Linked DNA regions of Astyanax mexicanus. The protein of the gene in region 2 binds, or shares a complex with, the protein of the main gene of each other region. Links are inferred from orthologs where the notes say so. Each region holds a gene or a part of one and is shown on either strand. Other genes may lie near its edges.

Region 1 (7,060 bases), on a different chromosome or scaffold from region 2:
GCCGTGCCCGCCAACCTCATCTCTCAGCTCTTCTTCATGCGGCTGGTTGGAAAGACGCCCATCGAGACGCTGATCCGAGACATGCAGCTCTCAGGCAGCTCAATTAGCTGGCCCTACGTGCCCGGACAGTAATTGAGTTGACGAGCTGCTTGTCACCCACTTAAACTCTTGACTTTCATGTTCTGTGTGGGCTTTCTAGATTCTCAGTGCGTGATTTCTTAGTCGCTGCGTGAATGTTCATGTTGTGTTATATTCTGCAACACCTCTCTGCTCATTTAGTGTACATGGTGAAGGAGAAAAGGTGAGTACGCTCTCACATGTCCTTAGGCGCATTAATCGAGCCACTCAAGTTTGGGATACCTCAGGTTTTTTACTTCAACGTCAAAACTTTCAGACAAGACTTTTTAGGCATGTTTTATGTGCATCAGCACAGCGGCAGACGAGAAACATCAACAAAGTATTGCACGATTTTTAACAAAAGAAACCATGATGAACTGATGGGGTGGCAGCCCTGAAGAGACGTCTTGGTGCTGCAAGTTTGTGAGATTGACGTTGGTCCAGCTTTAAACGTGAGATATTACGGGAGATTTCTTGGTACCCTATAAATAATTACTATATGAATTATAATGAGTGTAGTTTAGATGAAGACTCATGAAGGTTTTGTCATGGACTGCAATGCTATGTCAAAAAAAAATTGGGAAGCCTGACCACTTACTTGAAAAATCAGTTAATTAATGTGTTGTGATGATCACATTGTTTTGGAATAGTTCTGTGTACTCTAAATAATTGGGTCCAAAAAACAAACATTTCATACTGTCAATCATGAAAAATATCCAATATTTTTGCATACTAATAATAAAGACAGAATATTCATTCAAAAACTCCACTGTGGAGGATCTTTGGCTGGGCTACAACTTTTTTTTTGATTTGATGATGATGTTGATGGCATTTGTGATCTTACACAAAAAGGGGAAAAAGTCACAGTTTGGGTCATACATTTTTTTGTGTAAGCAATTATAAGTACTAGTAAGGTAGATACAAAATGAGTGTTTAACATGAATCTCCCTAAACATTTCTTGAGGCTTATTCCAAGAAGCATCATTTGTCAATAGAGGCCGTCATTTCATTCATGAAAGTGATACTGACTCGATGAGGAACGCTTTAGTATACATATTTAAATATACAATAACATAGCCAAAACATTAGCTCAACTGACAGGTGAACATCTTCATTGATCATCTTCATCTACAGTGGCATATGTCATGGAATGGATATATTGGGCACAAAGTTCTTGAAATTATGTGTTTAAAACAGGAAATCGGCAAACATGAAAATGTGAGTCACTCTGACAAGAGCCAAATTCTGATGGCTAGATGACTGGATCAGAAAATCATCAAACATCAGGCAGGTATGTTCTGGTGATGTGAGGTCTGACCTCATAACTTAGGACCAGAACAAGGAGTCCATGCCGTGAATGGTCAGATTGATTGTGTTGGGACAAGGGGGACCTACTTAATATTATGTAGGTGGTAGAAGTAATGTAATATAGATAAGATATATAGATAGATAATCAGTAGAGGTTCATGTAGTTGTATGAACTCAGCGCTTCACTAATGTATTCTTTATTTATTTTTAGAGTTAATACTGTTTTCACAATTTATTTGCAAGTTATACATATCTACTGCTATGGTGCCATGGGCAAAGATGTCAAAATCAAAGAATTGAATTGTTCTAGAATTGTTTTTCAGTGAAATCACCCTTTGCAGTGTAATGAAATAACCAAAGAGATGTGATGAGCCATGATTTAACTTGTTAATTTTTGCTCGGCTGAAATCCATAGTATATTGTCAATGTCTAGTGAAATGCAGACATAATTTGAACCTAAGGCCTTTAATTGTTAACAGTTGGGAACTGTTAACAGTTAAGTATGGGGGCGCTTATCTCTGTATATATTTATTCGATTTTTTTCTCACAAAGATTTGGACATAGCCACATGGTTGCTGGCTCATTTCTGACATGGAGCTCTGAAACCCTAGAGAACAAGGGCAGTGCAAACTGAAGCCATTCTCTGAACAGATGCATACAGAAGTTGGTGAAGTGGTGCCAGAATAATCACTGAAATCAATGAACAGCAGAATCAGTCGTTTTTCCACAAATGTGTAAATTGCTGTAGTAGTTGGTAAAATGTAAAATATAATGCTATAAAGTGGTTCGTCAGCTACAGGGATCTGCATGGACCTGAAAATCATGCAGCTGGCCAGTAAACACAAAGAAAGGCCAAAGTGCGATACCCCTGTGCCCCCTGCTGGCCACGTGTTTGGACAAACCGCATATAGGCCCTGCTATACATAGTCTTTCAGTGTCTTTAGGTCTTTTGTTCAGAGCAGCTACAGACCGAAATCACTAAATTTCATATTGATATGTTTAAGAGAGACCATTTAAAAATGATGGGTTTCCTTGATTTTACCAAATTGAAAACCTCTGGAATATAATCAAGAAGAAGATGAAATGTTTGCACCAGGCACCAAGAGTGGCGTAAAGTTATCCAAAAGCAGTGTGTAAAACTGGTGGAGGAGAACATGCCAAGATGCATGAAACTGTGATTAAAAAACGGGTTATTTTAGGCAAATATTGATTTCTAAACTTTATATAAATAGTATATGATCTTCATAAAGTTTTCTTGGCATTATTTAAGGTCTGAAACCTTTGCATCGTTTTTAAGTTTTAAGCCATTTTTCATTTCCTGCAAATAAATGCTCTAAATGAAAATATTTTAGTTGGAATTTGAGAAAATGTTGTCTATAGTTTATAGGCAAGGCAAGATTTTCCAGAGCTGTATTTATGCCAGAGAAGCAGAACCATTTACATCGTCGCCTCCTCTTACAGCCATACTGTTAAACGTTCGTTAAGGTTTTTCAATTACAAACTGTGGAGGAACCCCTTAAGGTGCTTTGATGAACCTTAAGATAACAAGTTCCTTCTAAAAAAAACATTTATATATATTATTTAAGGGCTTTCTCCAACTTCAAAAGGTTCCTGCAGAAAATCTAGGCGTGGCTGCAATATTATAATCCAAAACACTTCTGAACAAAAAAAATAAATGCAATGAGATCTATATATTACTCTGATAAGATTTGTCGCACTACCACGGCCTTTAAAACATAGTGTGATGCTAAACATCACCAGCTGGGGTCGCGGTGTGGTCACTTTTTGCCCTTCCATTGTTGTACTGAGCATTTATTTACTTGATTGTGTGAGGGGGGCTTTGTCTTCCCAACAATGAAAGAGCACCGTGGCTGTTAAGCTTATAAATCTGAAGAGCTGAGTTTCCAGATTAGCAATATAACGGAGGGTCAATTGTGCAGCGCACAGGCCACTCTCTTCAGTTCTACCCATTGATGAATTAATACAGTAGTTCTCAAACTTTTAAGGCAATGTACCAGCAAACTAAACCCCCCATGTACAGCTCTGGAAAATATTTAGAGACCACTTCAGTTTCTGAATCAGTTTCTCTGATTTTGCTATTTTAACTACGGGCAACATTCCTTCCAAATTCCTAATAAAAATATTGTCATTTAGAGCATTTATTTGCAGAAAATTAAAATGGGCTGAAATAACAAAACGATTCAGAGATTTTAGTCTTACACACTGCTTTTGGATAACTTTATGCCACTCCTGGTGCAAAAAATCAAGCAGTTCAGCTTGGTTTAATGGCTTGTGATCATCCATTTTCCTCTTGATCATATTTCATAGATTCATTTTGGCAAAATCAAAGAAACTCATAACTTTTAAGTGATCTCTTATTTTTTCCAAAGCTGTATATAACTGTTATACGTCTGGATGCTTCTGGAACACCTGAAATGTTTGCCAGTGCTTTGCCACAGCGATAATCACAGAGATGTAATCAAACAGATGCAACATTACAGATTTTAAATATAAACTTGCTAAAGGTATTTTTACAAACCTTTTGGAAAGTGCTGAATGAGGAGGAGGAGGAGGAGGAGGAGTGAGTTCTCCTTTTCTCCAGCTTTCCTTTTCTGGCTCTGCCCCCAGCATGTCATCTGCATGTTGTCATTCATGGGTGTAACCGCAGACCATCGGTCCTAAAAAACCTGAGAAGAGTTCATTGTTCGCTCGTTGAGGGAAAGGAAATCTTCTGTCATTCATTTTAATATGTCTTTCATACCGGGACAGCCTGTCACAGCTGTAGTGGTGAGTTCTTTTGATTATAAACTAGAGAAAGTTTCCGGGTTTCAGATACAGATAGGGTAGTTAAATGTCTAGCCCACCTCTGTTCATTCGCCTCTACTGTAGCGTTTAGCTAGCCTAACTACAGAGGAGGACTTTCCTTGGACTAAGGAAACTAGTTAGCTTAACTTGCAAACAAAGATAACGCGCAGTTTGTCGTGTTTTGTAAACGACCATCATGTAGTTGCTGTATGTGAATTAGGAAATGCGTACGTTTACGGAATTTAAAGTTAACGTACTTTGGTTGCTTTGCAGTGAAGCTAACCTAACGCTGGCTATGCTAAATAACGTACCCCCGTGTAATAACGTTAGCCGCCTAGCCAGCATTAGCATTAGCTCGCTCTGTGTTACAAGAGTTCCGGGTAGCTAGTTTAGCTAACAAACATTACTCAGAGTTAGTTCACTGTGTGGGTACTTTTTTACGAAGCTCTCAATATTATTAGAGACGTGTTTCTGGTTGTTCATTTAGTTAAAAAGTTAGCTAGCCTGCAATAAATCAAATAACTGCCTCGGTTAGCTGCCTAGCTAGAATAGGTTAGCTAACATACAGCTAGCCACTTCATCCATCAGCATTTGCTGTAGTTGCTATGCATAGACAGCTGAGTCTGTCTGTGAACCAGAACTGTTTTTTTTTTTTGTATGAAATAAAAGACAAACGTACGCTTCTAGTGAATAAAACAAATTATAAAGATTTACAATGAAGCTAAACCATGGATTAATAGTCAATTAAACATTTTATTAAAACATAAGTACAGCATTACATCATTACAGGTAATGCCTAGGTGTGGCTTAAGTAAATTTCTTACAGGTAGCTAGTACTGTATAGCCATATAAGGACAAGCAGAGTGGTATTAATGTTGTTGGTTTCACTGTGCTGGAGATAAGCTGTAACTTTTTTTTTTTTACCCCTCTTTTGTGTTTCAGCAAAGGATAGAGATTCAAAAACTACGAGACGGTGATAATTTAATATTGGGTTTTAGCATTGGAGGGGGAATTGATCAAGACCCAGGTCAAAATCCATTCTCAGAAGACAAGACAGACAAGGTGAGGCGTCTCAGATATTATAGCTGTCATGCAAAAAAACCCATATATTTCCATGCTGTTGTTCTCTTTTCTTCTATAAAGTTGACATACAATGTAATGCTTATATACTGAGTGGTATGTAAATCCTTGAAAGTGGTCACCCCCTCCTTCTCTAAAAAAGTCAATTCAGCTAACTGATGGTGAATCAGATGGGGTCATTTAGGATTAGACAGTTCTCTGAAGATCTCCAGGAACAGGGTTGGTGACCACTGTTGTACAACTTAAAAGTATTGTAATTTATTTTGGTTTAAGTATATTATTTTCTGCTTTTTTAGGGCATCTATGTCACAAGGGTGTCAAAGGGAGGTCCAGCAGAGGTCGCAGGCCTCATGATGGGAGATAAAATAATGCAGGTTGGGCAACTGAATAATGTCTTATGTTGACTAATGTTGAATAATCAGTGACATTTTAGCACCACATGTTTAGGGTATGGCTTGTTCTTACAAATACAATACTAACATGGAAAAATATGTTCTCTTAAAAACAGGTAAAGAGTAGTTTTATTTTTGCTCTGTAAAGTGGTTTTTATTTCAGATCAGTTTGACCACCAGAGGCTGCTATTAACCTACTGTTTGTGTTTCCGTTTTGACTTGAAGCTCTTAAACAAAATTATCTATGTTTTGTTGATTCAGTAGCTCTTGCATGCAGAATTTTTAGATATGGTCAGTTTTTGCTCATTCAGTTTGGCCTCATTAAGGAAATAGTCTTTGATTTCTGCAATGCTACACACATTCAGATGCAGTATGATTTAAAGGACAAGATTCGTTCACATTATAAAGGTTTATGGTACTTGGAAAGTTGAGAACCTGTTTGTTCATTATAGCACACAACGTTTTAACTGTAACATTCTTGTTACAGAAATGTTTAAGTGATTATATATAGTGTTATCTTATTGCTGAATATAATTTCTTGAATCATCAGTATGTTTTTTTATTATAACAGGTAAACGGCTGGGACATGACCATGGTGACTCATGACCAAGCGCGTAAAAGGCTAACAAAAAAGAATGAAGATGTAGTCAGGCTACTGGTGACCAGAAAATCTCTGCAGGATGCGGTTAGACAGTCCATGATGCCACACTAATAGCAATCTCTAACACTCCATTGAATGTCATTTGATAATCACACTACAGAATGTCCTTTTTTATATACTGTAATCCAACCAAATGCCAAAGAACAACAGTGAGCCATCATCTCAAAGACAGACTGAGTATTTGATTTGGGGTGATTTTTTACACCCCATAGGGGTGAATTTTCAATGTTTTCAAAAATAGTTCTGTGTGTTCAACACTAATGCTAAACAACTACTACATATAGCAGCAGTGTTACAGTGACAGTGTGAGTACAGATGATTGTCAATATGTAAATGATGTCCTATTCATTCATTGTTTGCAAGAACTATATGCAGCTACACTTAAAAACACTTATCAGTCATTGCCTTTTGTTTTGCTTTTTTTTTCCTTCTTAGATTGATGTTGAGTAATGCCAAGGAACATGTGTATCAATTCTACATAAAGACCACTAATTTCTTTCCTTTATCATTTTTATACAATGCTTATTTTCTTATGCATATACTACTTGTTTTGTTTGTTAATTCCTAATTATTGCTGCCAAATTAACATGATTGTTTCTCTATAGCAGAAGATCATAAAAGTTTTTTTTTTTGTGACACAAAATATCAACACTGTATTCCAATGATTTTCTACACTGTCTTTGATAGATTTTGGCAT
Region 2 (7,629 bases):
CACGTGTCACACTCTGCAGCAGTCCACAGCACCTTGAGAACTGTGTGTGTGTGTGTGTGTGTGTGTGTGTGTGTGTGTGTGTGTGAATAAGGCTAAATGCTCTATAATAAGGCTGCAGTGGTGCGTCCGCACTGAGAGCAGTCTGGATGTAAACCGTAGGTGAAGGTGGTGCTGACCGGTACTGTTCAGCTGGAACCAAAACACCAGAACCAGCAGTCAGGTATAACTGTGAGTTACACTGTCAAGCTGGGTGTTTATTATCTCTGTGACTTTCAACTCAAATGAAAAGGGTTCATAAATAAAGATGTATCCCTAAAAAAAACACTGCATCACTAAGTAATACTCCTCTAATTAAATAACCACAGCTAAATACTGACCTGCTCTACTTATATTATATTTAGATTCTTTTATTAATATACATTATGCATTTTACTGCCAATATTATTCAAGCCCAGTTTCAGAAATAGCTGGGACACGGATTAAAATATAAACACAAATCTCATAAACCTATATTTTATTCACAATGAAACCCATCAGAATGAAAAAGGCTAGCAGTCAGTACTTGATGCTCGTGATCTTTAGGCTCTCAGGCAGTACTTCGTTAAAAACAGGCTGTACTGAATATGTATCGAAATTAAGAACTGGGTTTTAGAACACTTCCAGAAATTACTGTTCACCATACAATTCATATATATGCAGGTTATAGCTGTACAGCAGAGAAGTAGCCAAATGTCAACACCATGGCTTTCCTTAATGCAGTGCTGGCTGAGGGCCCAAAGATCACCAGCATGCAATACTGACCATTGCCTATGTACCTTTTAAACAAGGATTTCTCCATATTCTCTGAATCTTTTGATAATATTCAAATGAGCTGTAGATGGTGGGATATCCAAAGTCTTTACAAATTTATATTGAGGAACATTTTTCTAAAACTGTTTCACAAATTTTGGATACATTATTTGTGCAGATTGATGAATCTCTGCCCATTTTTGCTTCTGGGAGAATCTGTCTCTCTATAAGACTCTCTTTATATCCATTCCAGAGTTGGTTGTAAATTGCTTCTATTGCAGTACCACTTACTTTTTCAGACTTTTGTTGCCTTGTCTCAACTGTTTTTAGATGTGTTGCTATAATAAGTTCTAAATGAGTTAAAGTTTTTTTTCATGAAATGGTGAAATGTCTCACTTTCAGCATCTGATATGTGTTCTGCATTCTATTGTTAAAGCTCACCTTCCGCGAAAATCCGATTTTTCTTGTTTTTTGTGGAATACAGTAGGTCTCTCCGAGTTGAATGTGTACACCTGCACATTAAACTGTTTTGCAGCCCCCATTGTCTGCAGGAGCTAAGCAAAGAAATCCCCCCTCCCCCCCTCCGAAAAAGGGGTGAATTTTGAATTATCTTTCTGCCTACGTAGGCAGAAACTCACAGACCAGCCCACCTTGGCTCGAGAAACTCCCAGAGGCGGAGCTGAAGCGACGCAACATCACCGCTCATCAGTTAGGAGGTGGGAGGCAGTGAGCGGCAGAGCGGTGGAGGGGCGTCGCAGTGCTCCTAGCCAATCAGAGGAGAGATATTTGCATGCTGTTTGCATGTATGAATATTCATGAGCAAAGCTGGAATCCGGTCATTTTGGACACACCCCTAAAACAGTCCATTAAAAAAGAGCTATACAGAGACACCTGAGCACTTTTTTTTTACAAAAACGGCTCACATGTCATTCATTCATACTAGAGACCACAACTAGACATTTTAAAATGAAAGAAAAAACGACGGAAGGTGAGCTTTAATAAAATGATGGTCTATAAGATTTACAAATAATTCATATTTCATACAGCATCCCAACCTATTAAGAAATTAACAGACTAAAACTTTCAGAAACATCTAACAAAACAAACACTGCAGTACCACAATAAAGCCTGACTTTATTTATTCAAGTACTTGCATTTTTTATTTTAATAAAACAATGGAGCTTAGGATTTCCATGATTAAAGTGATAAAAATGAAAATGACAAATGATTAGCACAATTCTTACCATAATATTGCTTTATGCTTTTTTTTTATAGTAGATACTTACTAATTTATAGTGGACAGTCAATAAGGTATAGTGGATACTGAACTAATTCATAGTGAATTCTGAATATTTATAGAACCTAATGAGTATTTATAATGGATGTTAATAAATTCATAGTAGTTACTAAATAACGCATAGCAGTTACTGAATAATTAATTGTGAATACTGAAAAATCGATAGTCAATACTGCATTTGCAGTGGAAAAGAAATCATTCATAGTGGATGCTTACTTTATGATAATATATTAAACACATTTTAAAGTTGTCCACCAATGTGAATGACCATTTATACAGTTCAGAGTATTCATGGTTATACAAAGAACCTTTGTTTTTTTTATATATATAAAAACTATAAATAACCCATTAAAAGACTGTACATTTCATGCTGTATGGACTGATACATTTTTTTTTTATTTAAATACAGTTAAAGTGACTTTTTAATCGGAAGTTCTATAGAGGAGGCAGAAGGTTCTCGCGGAGTGAAACGTAAACTCTAATCTGAGCTGGTCTGTATAACTTATATTTACACAAGCTTCCACACCAAATCTGCAGTTCACTGTAGTTCTCATTCACTTCAGCAGATTCACTGTGAACAAACAAACAACAAGAAAACAAACAGACAAACAATCAAACAGACAAACAAACTGCTCCAGCTTACCTGTCCACTCAGGTGAGGTTCAATGAGCAGGTATCCAGTTCAGGTGCTTCAGCTCAGGATTCCATCTCCAGCACATCACACACTCTCCTGAAGCGCTCACTCGCTGTGTGTGTGTCCACGCTCCTGCCCCACGCTAATCTCCACACGCTGCTCTACCGAGAGAGAGAGAGAGAGAGAGAGAGAAAGGAGAGAGAGAGTGAGAGAGAGAGAGAAAGGAGAGAGAGAGTGAGAGAGAGAGAGGGAAATGCTTGTCACTCTGATTACCGCTTGGTGGAGACAGCCTCGGCTCCTGTGTGACTTCTGTCTGAGTTATATACACAGTTTTTACACACACACATACTGTAAACCATGATCTACTGCTTTTATATATTTTCTCTATTGAAATTACAGTAGCTCTACTGAGATCTAGACAATACGTACGTTTATTACCTTAAAAAAAAAAATAAATCACTGCCCCTGTTAGTCAGGGGCCGCTATTTCCACTGTAGGGCTAAATTATTATTTTTCGCACTATAAGGCGCACCAGATTATAAGGCGCCCTATCAATGAATGTTTAATTTTTGGTCTATTTCTATACATAAGGTCTCACCTGCTGAATTAGTTACTTAAAACTAATTTAAGTAAAGCTATGCTAAGTAAACAAAACAGTAATTCCTAAAAAATATATTTTAAAGTCAAACAAGCAATGGATGTTAATCTACACAGATTTCCCTACTGAAAACAAACTCTTTATTTGGGTGAGTAAAGCACTTACGTTTATTTACAGAAAGCATAGATTTCCAGATTTCTAGATTTCCACTAAGCGACTTACCGCTAGAGCAAGCCGCAGTCAGTAAGTAGTAAGTAGTAAATTCCGCCCGACAGCTTTACACTGAGGAACCCTTAGTGTTCTGGTAAGCCTGGGCGATATCAGTTAGAGGTTCTTTTCACATAGCTTGTTTTAACACCGTAAACACGCAGGCTACAGTCCAATATACTCACCTCTGAATGGCGAAAGAGCTAGCGCTTAGCACAGTTAGCAGCTAATGTTAATGCTGCTCCAGCAGTGCTAGCCAGAGTTAGCAGCAGGCTACAGGCCAATAATACTCACCTCTGAAAGGGGAAAGAGCTAGTGTTTAGTGTCGTTAGCGGCTAATGCTAATGCTGCTCCAGTCTTACAATACTTGCATGCTTAGCTGGACTTTATTTGGCATTTAACAGTCATGTTAACATTAATTTTATGTCTGATTTAATGTTACAGATTAACATGAAAACAAAAGTAAGTTCAGAACATTTTACGAAATAGTGTTTCTGTAAGACACTGGCTGGCATGAGAAAGTTGAAGAAGGATGCTGTGCTAATGTTATTTACCCAGACAGATAGTTTAGTGAAGTCTGTAAGGAGGACTATAAGTTAGACGAACTACAAGCTTTTTTTTCTACAGTCACTAAGTTAGTAAGTAATTAACTAGCTAGCAAGCTAACACATGATTTTCTAATACAACAAACTTTTAGCCTTTTAGTAAAACAGCTCAGGGAATCTTGCACTTATTACTACTTTCACCATTAATTCAGGAATGTGTGCAAGGTTAGTTGTTCACACAGGCGCTGCCATTTAAACGCTGCCTTGCTGCCTTGGAATTTACGGTTTAGGAGTGTACCCTTAGCCTCGCTTTCATTTTAACATGAGCGTGGAGTGAATAAGGTGCATAAACTAGCTTAGCTGGCAAGAGAAAAATAAAGCTAGCTAGCACCACAACACACATTGCTAGTCGCACACATATCCAGTAATGTTATTCTTACACCAAACTGATAACACTATCAACTAAATGTCACAAGTTAACAAAATCTATAAAAAAATATTCTATACATATTTTATTTTGGTATTTTACTAGCTAAGAAAAAAACTCCTCTCCAGCATTTCTCTTTTTCAGTGTGGAGTAGCTAGCATTAGCTATGTAGCTAGCAAAGCAGTACCACAGAATGGTGACAAGGAGCCAATAAACGGCAAGTGTAGTGAAAATGAAGTTCACACTTACTGTCAATTATTACAGCTCTACAGACACAAACTGACTGATTACCACTTGACTGACCACTAGCATACATCTAAGCTTAAAGACTTGCAGCCTTCCATAGCTGATTTGGAGTGAGTGCCACCTATTGTTCCCACAAACAACTGCAAATTACAAGAAGAAGCCCACAAATGAGTCTTTAATAAAATTGAATTAATGAAGCTAAATAGCTTAAAATACAAATAAAAAAATAGTTACTATCCACTAGGCCAGAATATTCATTCAATTATTGAAAGCAGAATGATGTATTTCACTAAAAATGCAAAGAAAACCTACCCTTTTTTACGGTTTAGGACAACAAAGACTAGCATTACTGCTACTGTGTGCTGACTGGTTGGTGAATTATGGTCATAGCATGTTTAAAAGGCTTTTACCTGTAGTTTAAAAACTTTTAAAAATTACATTTGCCGTGCTGAAACATTTGATGTTGTTCTGTATTGGGAAAATTGTTAAAATTCATATGTACTTAGAAGCGCCCTCTGGTGATCCAACAAACCCGGAAAAGATTCTTAAAGTGGCACTTAACCCCCTGATTTTTGCTGACTTCAGTCTCAGATACAATTTGAAACAGGCTAAAAAAATGGGAGGGGTAGTTTGGGAGGGGCACTGGGTGATGTATGGGTTTAGAGGGCCGGGCGGGGCAGTATGAAGAGCTGATTGGCTGAGCTGCAGCAGCTGCAGTGTGCCTCTGATAACGATGATACCCAGATGGTTGGACGTTATTATTGATTATCTGATCTACATATTGTGATGTGTCTGTGATGTGTGAAGTACATGGACACATCATCCATGCCTATAGCACAATTGAACGTGAGAGGGCGCCGCAGAGGTGGAAATGACCAAAATAAAAGTGTTTTTTGAAAATTAGGAAAAGTTTATAAAAAAATAAAGCAGGACTGGTATGTTTCATTACTTCAAAGGAACACATTTCAGCTATTAAGAAAAAAGTGGTTTAGGCTTTAGTGGGTATTCTCCTCTCTAGAGATTATCTGGCCTGTTTCTATACACTTCAGTTACAAATCATCTAACCTGTTGTAGCTTTATATGCCTATGTACAGTTATAGAGGATATAAAGATGTGCATTTGTCTGTATTATAATAAAACTTGTATCTGAGTTGGAAATAATGAAAAAATGTGGCATTAACAAAGATAATTTCATTTTCATACTGCTGTTTAAAAATGTAATTCACAAAAGAAATATATTTATCTTACAATTCAGCAATGATGCTTTGCAGATTTACAGTAACGTGCTGTTTGAAGGTTCTACAGAGAGTATTTGTTCAATATACATCAGTAATCCTGTAAAATCTACAGAATGTTGCTACATTGTACCCTTGAGATCCTTTTCTTGTCTTATTCTATTTAAAGCATTCATTTTGGCCCTAAGCCAGTTCACCCACTTCTCCCATATTTTTGTAGGAGTGTAAAAGTTGTTGTGCCAATAAATGTATTTTTAAAGTGAAAGTTTCTGGCTGTCATTGCTGCCCTCTCTGTGTGTCTCTGTGTCAGAATGTGTTAGCTTCCAAACACAGACATCAAAGCCTGTCCTCCCTCTCGCTCTCCCCTCCTGAGGGTCTAACTCTGACCAAGGTTTTTACATAACTCTCCCCTCCGTACAGTGTGCGCATCACACAGCTCTGCTCTGTGTGACACTGCACCCCGCTGAGATCTTCTTTCATCTAAATGTCCATTTATATCTTATCAGGACCCAGATTAACTGTACCCCTTACCCAAACCATTCACTGCCCTGTTACCTGAAGGGATTCCTCAGGGATCAATTCTTGGTCCTCTTTCACTGTCAGTATTTACATGGTACCCTTCATGCAAATCTAAATTCTATTATTCTTTAAACCCCTTGGCTCTTTAAACAGTGAAAGAGCTAGCGCGGTTAGCGGCTAATGCTAATTCTGCTCCAGCAGTGCTAGCCGGGGTTAGCAGCAGGCTACAAGCAGATAATACTCAACTCTGATCGGCAAAGGAGCTAGAGGTTGGCGCAGTTAGCGGCTAATGCTAATGCTGCTCCAGCAGTGCTAGCTGGGGTTAGCAGCAGGCTACAAGCAGATAATACTCACCTCGAAAGAGCTAGCACACTCAAAGGAAAGCGCAGTGACCCAGCTCAGACAAATCAGCTAACAGACGCCTGTGCTGACCGACATTACCTTGAGTGTGATGTTGGAAAAGAGCGCCATCTACCACAAAGAGAGAGAGCAAGGCCAACTGTGCTCTCTGAGACTCTGGATGCTGATGGAAAGCAGTATGATCCAGGATTCTAACAAGTTTTACCCTTCTTTAACAAGCAGTACTATTAGTAGTAGTTGTAGAATGAATCATTCATTGGTCCTCTACCATTAATGTCCACTAGTTTCTTATGGGTTTTGCTGCTTTGAGAAAAGAAAATAAATTATTAAAACCTATGTGATTTCTCATTTTTAACTGCACCATTGTTTAACTATTTAACAAAGAGATTATAAATCATTTTTACAAGCGAGTCATGGACTATCCTGTTTTATTACCTGTAAACTTAGTCATTGGCCTCCTACTACTTACAACATACATTTCCCCCCTTATTTAACTCACGTAGTGCCTCGATTACACAAAGGTGTTTCTCACGGGTTGTTTTTTTTTGGTTCCCTGCAATTTACAATATTCATGTTGCCCCTTATCCAAGTCCTTCGGTGCCCCAGTTCTCCACAAGGTGGTTCAGTTAGCAGTGCTTTGTCCCCTTCAGCTTATATAATTGCCTGTTACCCATTAGATAACAGAAATATTATCTGAGAAAAAACTAAAATGTGTGTAGTGAAGAAGGTAAATGAGACGAGTCTGTATGAGCCGTGCATGATATTATAAGTT

The links. Proteins that work in one complex are often made in the same cells at the same time.
Region 1: the proteins of kcnj4 (region 2) and tax1bp3 are in contact, whole or in part, in a crystal structure (PDB 3GJ9), measured with the Homo sapiens proteins. The link is inferred for Astyanax mexicanus from reciprocal best matches to the Homo sapiens genes KCNJ4 and TAX1BP3. Residues at the interface, in NP_004972.1 of Homo sapiens: Arg440, Arg441, Glu442, Ser443, Ala444, Ile445; in NP_055419.1 of Homo sapiens: Leu27, Ile28, Leu29, Gly30, Phe31, Ser32, Ile33, Gly34, Gly35, Asp38, Gln39, Gln43, Asn44, Thr58, Arg59, His90, Asp91, Arg94, Leu97, Thr98.

The regions. Positions count from the first base shown.
Region 1 is NC_064423.1:19,202,869-19,209,928, reverse strand, and holds the start of tax1bp3 (tax1-binding protein 3), read left to right. Parts: upstream 1-4,048; 5' UTR 4,049-4,173; coding exon 4,174-4,212; intron 4,213-5,172; coding exon 5,173-5,292; intron 5,293-5,606; coding exon 5,607-5,684; intron 5,685-6,273; coding exon 6,274-6,414; 3' UTR 6,415-7,060. Other genes in the region: nr2f6b (nuclear receptor subfamily 2 group F member 6b), read left to right, coding at 1-132. UniProt on the Homo sapiens protein: May regulate a number of protein-protein interactions by competing for PDZ domain binding sites. Binds CTNNB1 and may thereby act as an inhibitor of the Wnt signaling pathway. Competes with LIN7A for KCNJ4 binding, and thereby promotes KCNJ4 internalization.
Region 2 is NC_064410.1:9,643,024-9,650,652, reverse strand, and holds the start of kcnj4 (ATP-sensitive inward rectifier potassium channel 12), read right to left. Parts: upstream 3,055-7,629; 5' UTR 2,730-3,054; intron 1-2,729. UniProt on the Homo sapiens protein: Inward rectifier potassium channels are characterized by a greater tendency to allow potassium to flow into the cell rather than out of it.